Linked DNA regions of Elephas maximus indicus. The protein of the gene in region 2 interacts with the protein of the main gene of each other region in a pairwise test. Links are inferred from orthologs where the notes say so. Each region holds a gene or a part of one and is shown on either strand. Other genes may lie near its edges. The genes, in order: NIPSNAP1 and RGS2.

Evidence for each region.
Region 1: the proteins of RGS2 (region 2) and NIPSNAP1 interact in a two-hybrid assay, tested with the Homo sapiens proteins (2 studies listed by BioGRID and IntAct). The link is inferred for Elephas maximus indicus from reciprocal best matches to the Homo sapiens genes RGS2 and NIPSNAP1.

What each region holds. Positions count from the first base shown.
Region 1 is NC_064840.1:26,959,239-26,963,146, forward strand, and holds the start of NIPSNAP1 (protein NipSnap homolog 1), read left to right. Parts: upstream 1-1,494; 5' UTR 1,495-1,519; coding exon 1,520-1,623; intron 1,624-3,908.
Region 2 is NC_064842.1:58,198,541-58,202,448, reverse strand, and holds the start of RGS2 (regulator of G-protein signaling 2), read right to left. Parts: upstream 2,334-3,908; 5' UTR 2,291-2,333; coding exon 2,175-2,290; intron 1,134-2,174; coding exon 1,032-1,133; intron 930-1,031; coding exon 868-929; intron 317-867; coding exon 150-316; intron 1-149. UniProt on the Homo sapiens protein: Regulates G protein-coupled receptor signaling cascades. Inhibits signal transduction by increasing the GTPase activity of G protein alpha subunits, thereby driving them into their inactive GDP-bound form.

The DNA.
Region 1 (3,908 bases), on a different chromosome or scaffold from region 2:
GGCATCACCTGTTTATGATAATTGATTGCTTTTCTATTATGATGATCTGCAGTTTCCTTTTTAAATAAATCACACAAACACTACATTTTTTTTTTTTGGTAGCAACTTTAGAAAACACACACAAAAAATTCATAGTTAAAAGCTCACATTTTCATACAGATTATTTCCTCAATCTGTACAGGGCTCTCCCTCCACTTACCCCCTCCCCCACCCCCACCCCCGTTATAACTCCTCAGGCTCACGCAAGAGGCTAAGGCCTCTGCTCTGGAGGGCTGACAGTCAGCAATGATTTGACTCTGTAGGGTTGATATGAGTCAGAAATTGACTCCAGGGCAAGGGGTTTCTTTGTTTTTTTGGTCCACCCACCAGGCCCGAAGCCCCAAGAAGGCCAGGAGTTTTTTCTGCCCCACTTTGCTGTCTCATAGACCCCCTGGCGGCACAATGGTTAAGAGCTCCAGCTGCTAACCAAAAGGTCAGCAGTTCAAATCTACCAGCTGCTCCTTGGAAACCCCATGAGGCAGTTCTACTCTGTCCTATAGGGTGTCTGGGAGTCAGAATCGACTCCATGGCAACGGGTTTGGGTTTGAGTTGGTGTCTCACAGCCTAGCCCAGGATCTGGCCAGGCTGACTCTCAGTATCTGCTGAACAAATCAGGGAATGCAAGCCTGTCACCCGGTCAGCGGGTGGGCATTATTTTGGGGCTTGTGCATGCAACCTGCCCCTCTGGAAGCGATGAGGGCCTGGGCCCCCAGATGTGGGGCCTGCAGACTCTCTGCCCCTGCAGAGCTCTGTGGTCTGGGGGCTTGTGGGCTGAGACAGGTAGGTTTTATCGACAGGCAAGAGTTGGGCAGGGCAGGGCAGGTGGAGGGCATGTGGCCCCAAGAGGCCCAGGTCAAATGGCTGAGAGGAATGTAACAGGAAAAGTGCATGGTGGAAAGATACGGTCCGTGCGGCCCAGAGCCTTGCCTAGTCTTTCTTAGATTATTAGGGGATTTGTTTCTTTGATAAACGCTGCCTGTGGACCCCTACCCAGAAAACCACTCAGGTGTACACCGCTTGTATACAATTTCAAGGGCCTTACTGAGGGTCGCTACAGATTGGCCCTCTAACTGCCCCATAGGGCACTTCTATTCTGTTCTCTAGGGTCACTATTGGTCGGAACGGACCCGACAGCAACGGGTTTGGTCTTTTGACCCTCTGCCGCTCATTCCCCAACGCCCTATTAAGAACTCCTGGTATTATTCAAAGTGCTCATTTTACCGAGGTGGACACTGAGGCTCCAAGTGGACAAAGTGCTTAATCAAGTTCACAGAGCGAGTCCGCGGCAAAGCCACAGAGGCTCAGAGAACTAGAACCCCGACTTCCGCTTAGCATCTGCGGAGTTGGGGTACGCAGAGGAGGAACGCCCACCTTGCCCCTGCAGAGCGAGTCGGTGCTCCTGGGGGCGGGGCTTGTCGACGTCCCGCCTCCGCCGCCGGCTTCGGGGGCGGGGCCTTCCTCCAACCTGCGCCGTTCCAACATGGCTCCACGGCTGTGCAGCATCTCTGCGGCGGCGCGGCGGCTGCTGGGTGGCCCGGGCCCCCGTACCGGGGATGCTGCGGCTGCGGCTGCGGCTGCGGCACGGTGAGAGTCGGGCAGGGCGCGGGAGGCGCGCGCGGGGCTTGCAGGGCGGGACAGGGGTCTGGGTCTCAGGGAGGGACTGGTACTCCTCGGCTTGGAACCTGGGGGCTAGGGGCGGGGGCAAGATCGAGGGCTGGGCAAAGAATGAGGAAGGTGGGAAAGATAGGGGCATGGCCCTTGTCCGAGTGGGGACTAGGGTCTGGGCGGAGAATGGAAGATGGGGGTGGCAGGCCCTGGGTCCTGGGGCGGGGGGCTGCCGGTAGAAGGAATAATACCTGATGAAAGAGAAGCCTCCTCCCTACTGGGGGTTCTAGGAGGGTGAGCTCCTCCATGGGGAAAGGTCCGTTCTCGGGGGAAGCAATGGGGATTCCCCAAAACAATGGCTACACAGGCATTGCTCCCCCACCCAAACAGTTCAGGTGAGGCAACTGAGACCGGCGGGGAGGAGGGGATGGCAGTTGTCGAAGCTCATGCCACTTGCTTTCCCATGGCAACACTGGGTCTGGGATCCAGGTCTTCTGACACCCTGTGCTCTTTGCACCACAACTGGGTGGCTTCCTGGGAGAGGGAGGCTGGCTGGCCATTCACTTGGCCTGGGCCTTTGTTTGTCCCACGGTGGCCCCTCCCTCCTTCGTCTCCAGGGCTCTGCATTTCCTCCATCTCTGCACTTACCACCCTGAGCACTTATGGCTCTTGGCTTGCCTGTCTCCCTACTAGACCTTCAGCTCATTTTTGTTTCCCCAGCACAGGGCTCAGGACAGTGTATGTTCAAAGAACATTTCCAAAGACGTGAGAATGCCCATTTCTCTACCTATGGAAAGGAAGCAGGGGCCCCTCCTGTCCACCAGCCCAGGAGTGAAGCTGCAGAGTTCTCTTAGGCCTTGCTATGAGATGTTAGATGGCTGGAGAGTGGGACTGCTGGGCTGCTGGGGAAGAGGAGATTGCCATGTGCCCCCATCCATCTGCCCAGTAATTGAGGAGAAAGCTGGCATCAGGGAAAGAGCTTGGAGTCTGCCTGCCACCAAGCAAATCTCACTCAGCCTTTTGTAGTGACCTTGGGCAAGTCATTTGACCTTTTCAAGCCTCAGGTTCCTCATCTGTAAAACGGGGGTGATAAAATAAGGTGTGTCTCATAGGGTTGCTAAGGATTAAAGAGGCCATCTGTGTGAGGCATGTAGCACATGGTGGACATGAAACAAATGTTGCCGCTTGCCCTAGCCTGCCTCTCAAGGAATTTCTGCTTGAGCCCCTTACAAGGTCAAGGCTGAAAGGGCTTTGGGGAGATCATCTTTTCTGAGCCTCCTGGTTTCCAGATGAAGAAATCAAGGCCCAGGAAAGGGACTTCACTTCCCAGTGTTACAGAATCAGTTGGTGGTAAAATCATCTGTGTGACGAATATCCGCAAAAGAATATTCACAAAAGGAGCATGGGACTTAGCCGTAGCCGCTGCTTCTCACGTACTTACTCTGTAACCCTGGACGAATCACTGGACCTCTGGAAAACTTGGTCTCCTTCTCAGTAAAGTGGGTTGGTGATCTACTGGGTTAATAATTATCAAGTCCCTTGAGGACTGCTGCTCAGCTTCCTACATGCTTTTACTTACACCTTGGTCCCACATAGGATACCTGGGAATATTCTCTCCTGCTGACCCTCAGCCTGCCCCACATCTCCCTGGAGTCACTAGGGGAGCCAGCAGCAGCCCTTCTGGCTTCTGAGGTTTGGAGGCAACAAGGCTGCTCGGGTGGGGACAGAACATGGACTTTGGAATGACCACCCTGGCTTGGAAGCCTCTTGGCCATGGACTGGCCATCTTTGAATAAGGCGTGGAACATCTCTGAGCCTCCTTTGTCTCAAAAACATTGTGAGGATTAGCTTGTAGCACATAGCAAGTGCTCAGTAAGCAGCAATCAACTGCTCCTTACCATTGTACCAGGTATCCTGTTGATAGCAGAACTTGAGTTTCTCTAGCTAAAAACACACTCTTGAACAATAAGGAGAAACATGGCCCCTTTCTGAAGTCAGCCGACTCAAATCGGAAGAGCATTTCAGGATGTGCACTGAGGCAAGCTTCCCAGCATATAAATCTGTAACATTCCTGAGCAGATCGATGTGTGGAGGGGTCACATCCTTGTGACGATGCAGGTATGTCGTCGATAGTAACTGCTCCCAAAGAAGGATGGAAAAGTTCTCATCTGGGACAAAATTTATTTTTGGTGAAAATACACACAGCAAAACCCGCTCCCATTCCACCGTTTCTAGACATAATGATCAGTGACAGTGGTTATATT
Region 2 (3,908 bases):
GAAAGACAGAATGGGGTTGGGCTGGGTGGGAGGATCCTCTTACCACCCCTCACCCACTCTTTTAATTTGGAGTCTCTTCAACTCTTATTTCACTTTGGTGCTAAGGATGTTCAAAAATGTACTGAGATGAATTTTTTTTTTTTCTTTACCTCTTTTGGAGCTTCCTTTTCTATGAAGTCAGTATATATTTTCCTTGCTTTTGAGGACAGCTTTTGGGGTGACTTGGTTTTTTTGAAATCTTCACAGGCCAGCCAGAATTCAATATTTTCTTCACAGAATTCAGATTTTAAAAAAGCCCTGAATGCAGCAAGACCATCTGAAAGAAAAAAGGGCATGCAGATGTGATATTTTTCCTAGTGCGTACCCGCACTGTAATTATTTCTAAATGATGGTAATTTTCTAGATTTCACTCGTACCTACAATCCTCAGAATTTCCCTCTTTAAAATTTAAAAGCTAAGATGCCAGTAGGCAAGCTGCTTAAATTGGCACACTGGTAAAAAAAAAAAAAATATGCAAACTTAATTTTGCTGTCAATACAAAATAAGTATTTAGAGGGAAGCCATAAATTCTCTGGGAACTAAGCCTTTTGAAAACACTGCAATGGAAAAGCTGACTTAATCTTTGCTAATAGCAACTGTCACTTTAATTTTTTTAGGCTAATTTTTCTTCTCCACCTGGAGTGAATAATATATGCATTTCCATGGTTAAACACTGGAAAATAAGGGACAGAAAAATAGGTCTTATGCTATAGTGACTATAATTTAAGTCCCATTCCCCTCAGGCCAGCTGCTCTTCTGTTGGGTGGACCTAACCTTAGTGAACTCCTGAACCACCTGAAATGGATCAAACTCAAGAGTGTAACTTACATTTACTGGCTAGCAGCTCATCAAACGCTTCTGACCACAGCTGTGCTTCCTCAGGAGATGGCCTGCAAGAGAGGTTCTGTAGATTAGCTTATGTGCACCAGAACTTCCCTTTTTGGTCCAGCAGCTAGCAGCTCCTATTACCAAGTACAGGGTTTTCAACTTACTTGATAAAAGTTTGCTGTTTGCTTTTCTTGCTGGTTTTGGGCTTCCCAGGAGTGGAGGAATTTTGTAAGAAGTAGCTCAAACGGGCCTTCCAATCTTTTAACCTTAAAAAAAAAAAAAAAAGGCCATTTACTAAGTGGCAATGCTTGAAAATGCAGCTACTGCAGCCGAATGCATTTTTTTTTTCCAAATAAAGTCTCCCAGGAGCTACAGACAAACCAAATAAAATCAAACAGGAACTCTCCAAGTGAGACAAGTCTCACCCTTTTAATGTAATGTACTGAATACACAATTAGCTTCATTCATTTACGTGAGAGTAACTAGCAGTTTTATAACTATCGGCAAGACTATCTAAAACCACTCAAGTATTTAAACGAATTAAATTTGTGTTGTTCCAAAGGCAGCAGGTTTCTCTACAAGGCGAATTACAACTACGGTTGTTTCACGCTTGATGAAATCGCCTCCGGCTGGGGATGTTCATTTTCCTCGACGGCACTGGGTTTCACCGTGAAAGCAGGAGGCTCTGGACAACGCCAGAGGCTGCACACAGTGAGGTGCGTGTGACTATCTCCACGCCCCTCCACCCCCCAACGACGACGCTCATTTTGAGCAAATGCTGCAGAGCAATAATCTGTTCCGCAGTCTCAATGAGTGAGATCTACTCTTCTACTAAAAACAAGACTGGATTTCTATTCAGAACCAGCACACACAGCTTCAGCCCTGCAGCTGTGTAAGCTGATCAGAACTCAATGCAACGCACGACTGCAGGGGACATGCTTCAGCCGCAGGATTCTCTGATGGCATTTTAAATGCAGGGGAACAAAAAGTCAACCCGCAATATCTTAGCGCATCTACCGCCGTCCCCAGACACCACATGTAGAATATTCCTCAGTTCCTAAACTCTAACGGATCGTCCTTCGGTCACGTAACAAAATAAAACTCTACCCCCGCCAAAAAAATACCAAAAAACATATTTAACCTTAATTTGCCAGATTAACCTTTTCCACCCTTTTCCCGCCTGTGGAGACCCGAACTACCCAGTTTCCTGCAGCCGAGGCCGAGACCGAGCCCACCGCGTTTGCAGCAGACCGGGGGAGCTAGCTCCGCAGGGGCAAGGGCGGGAGGCTGGAGAAGACCGTACTCACAGGGTTAGCTTCATCTTCTCCCGCTTTTCCTCGCTCTTGGCGCCACTGCCTGCGCTCTTGTCCACTGGACCACAGTACTCGTGCTGGACAGCCAGGAACATGGAACCTCGCATCATCCTCTCCCCACACCGGCAGCGGCTGCTGGCTGGCGGGGGCGCCGCGGCCTTTATAGGAGGCCAGGACCCGATGGGGAGGGCCGCCCGCACCAGCCCCGCCCCGGAGGGCGAGGACTGGCCGTGTACGGGGCCCGGGGGCGGTGCGAGCGCGGTCACGGCCGCCCACGAAGGGTCTCGGGAGCCAGGGCGCAGCCGATGCTGGCGTTGCCCGGCCGAGCGCGCGCTCGGGCCGCAACGCGACCCGGACCTTTCCCGGGAGCCGTTGCCGGCGACCTGTGCCCAGGCGCGGGGCCGGCCGGATGGGCTCTGCCGCCTCCGGCGAGGGCGGGGGGCCGAATTAGCCGCAGGCCCGGCGCGGCGCGCCTTCTCCCCGCACCCACCCTGACGTGCCCCTGGATCCCCGAGAGGGGCGATGTTTCCCCATCAGGAAAAGGTGCTTTGCTGCAAACTCGAGTGCAATCGCCTTATTTCCAGTTAACATGGATTGGCCATCCCCCTGCCCGCGCCTCGTTTCTGGCTTACAGTCCTGGTCCTGCTGTACCGACTCGCCCGAGACCCTTGGTCTGTAAAGTAAACCGGGGCCGCCCGGAGACCCTCGCTCGGTCCTCTCCTGCGATTCTGCTTCAGCCGGGGGAGGAAACGGTGACAGCCCCGGGGCAGGTGTGCTGGCTGGGGTTTGGGCATCTTGGAATACTTAGGGGAACGAACATTCGTCAGGTGAGGAACAGGAGAAAATGACTCTTTCAGAAGACAGCGTTTTAACTGGGTTTACTTTGTGATCTTCACCTCTAGACTTGTGGCTTGGCCTATAGGGTCCGTCCTCAGGATTTCCTGGCTTCTTCTCCATCCACAACAGAAATCACAGATCTCGCCATTGTGTATGTGCGTGAGAGAGGAAGGAGAGGGAAAACGCCACACTTAGCAGATGGAATGTACTGGAATCATTCTAGTTTAAGAACGTGGGAATGGATGATTTCTTCGTGAGTCATCCTTAGTTGGTTTAGAGTTTACCAGAATACTTAACTGGCAAAAAGTAGCAGAAAAGTTAACACTTTGCTTAAATAAGTTGTTGATTTTCCAGAAATCATCTGTCCCCTCCTGCAAGCTTTCAAGTGACTTGATGGGTGAGGACAAACATTACTTTAGCTACAAAATGATTTGATTTTAGAGAACAGCATTGCCAGAACCTAACAGTGGAATATTCAAATGGTTTCCCCATCAAACCTCTAATTAGACAGTAAGCTTTACAGCAAGATATTGATTGGGTTGCAAATATTCTCCCTATTTTACACTAACCATTAAAAAGCCAATAAACCAAACCCGTTGCTGTTGAAGCAATTCCGACGCAGGCCTGTAACACTGGGACTAGTTACCATGTTTTTATGCTGAGCTGCCAGTAGTTGGAGCTCCAGCTTTGACTTGGAGAGGAAAATCTGCAATTACTACTGAAGAGAACAGTCATGTACTTTATTATGGAAACAAGTAATTTAGATTTCAGTAAAAAAAAAAAAAAAAAGACTTTAAAATATGTTTGTGAAATGTAAGACTAATTTCGCTCAAGCATATAGTCTTCATCTGTGCAGGAACTGCATGGTGTTTGCTGTATGTTTTTTTCACT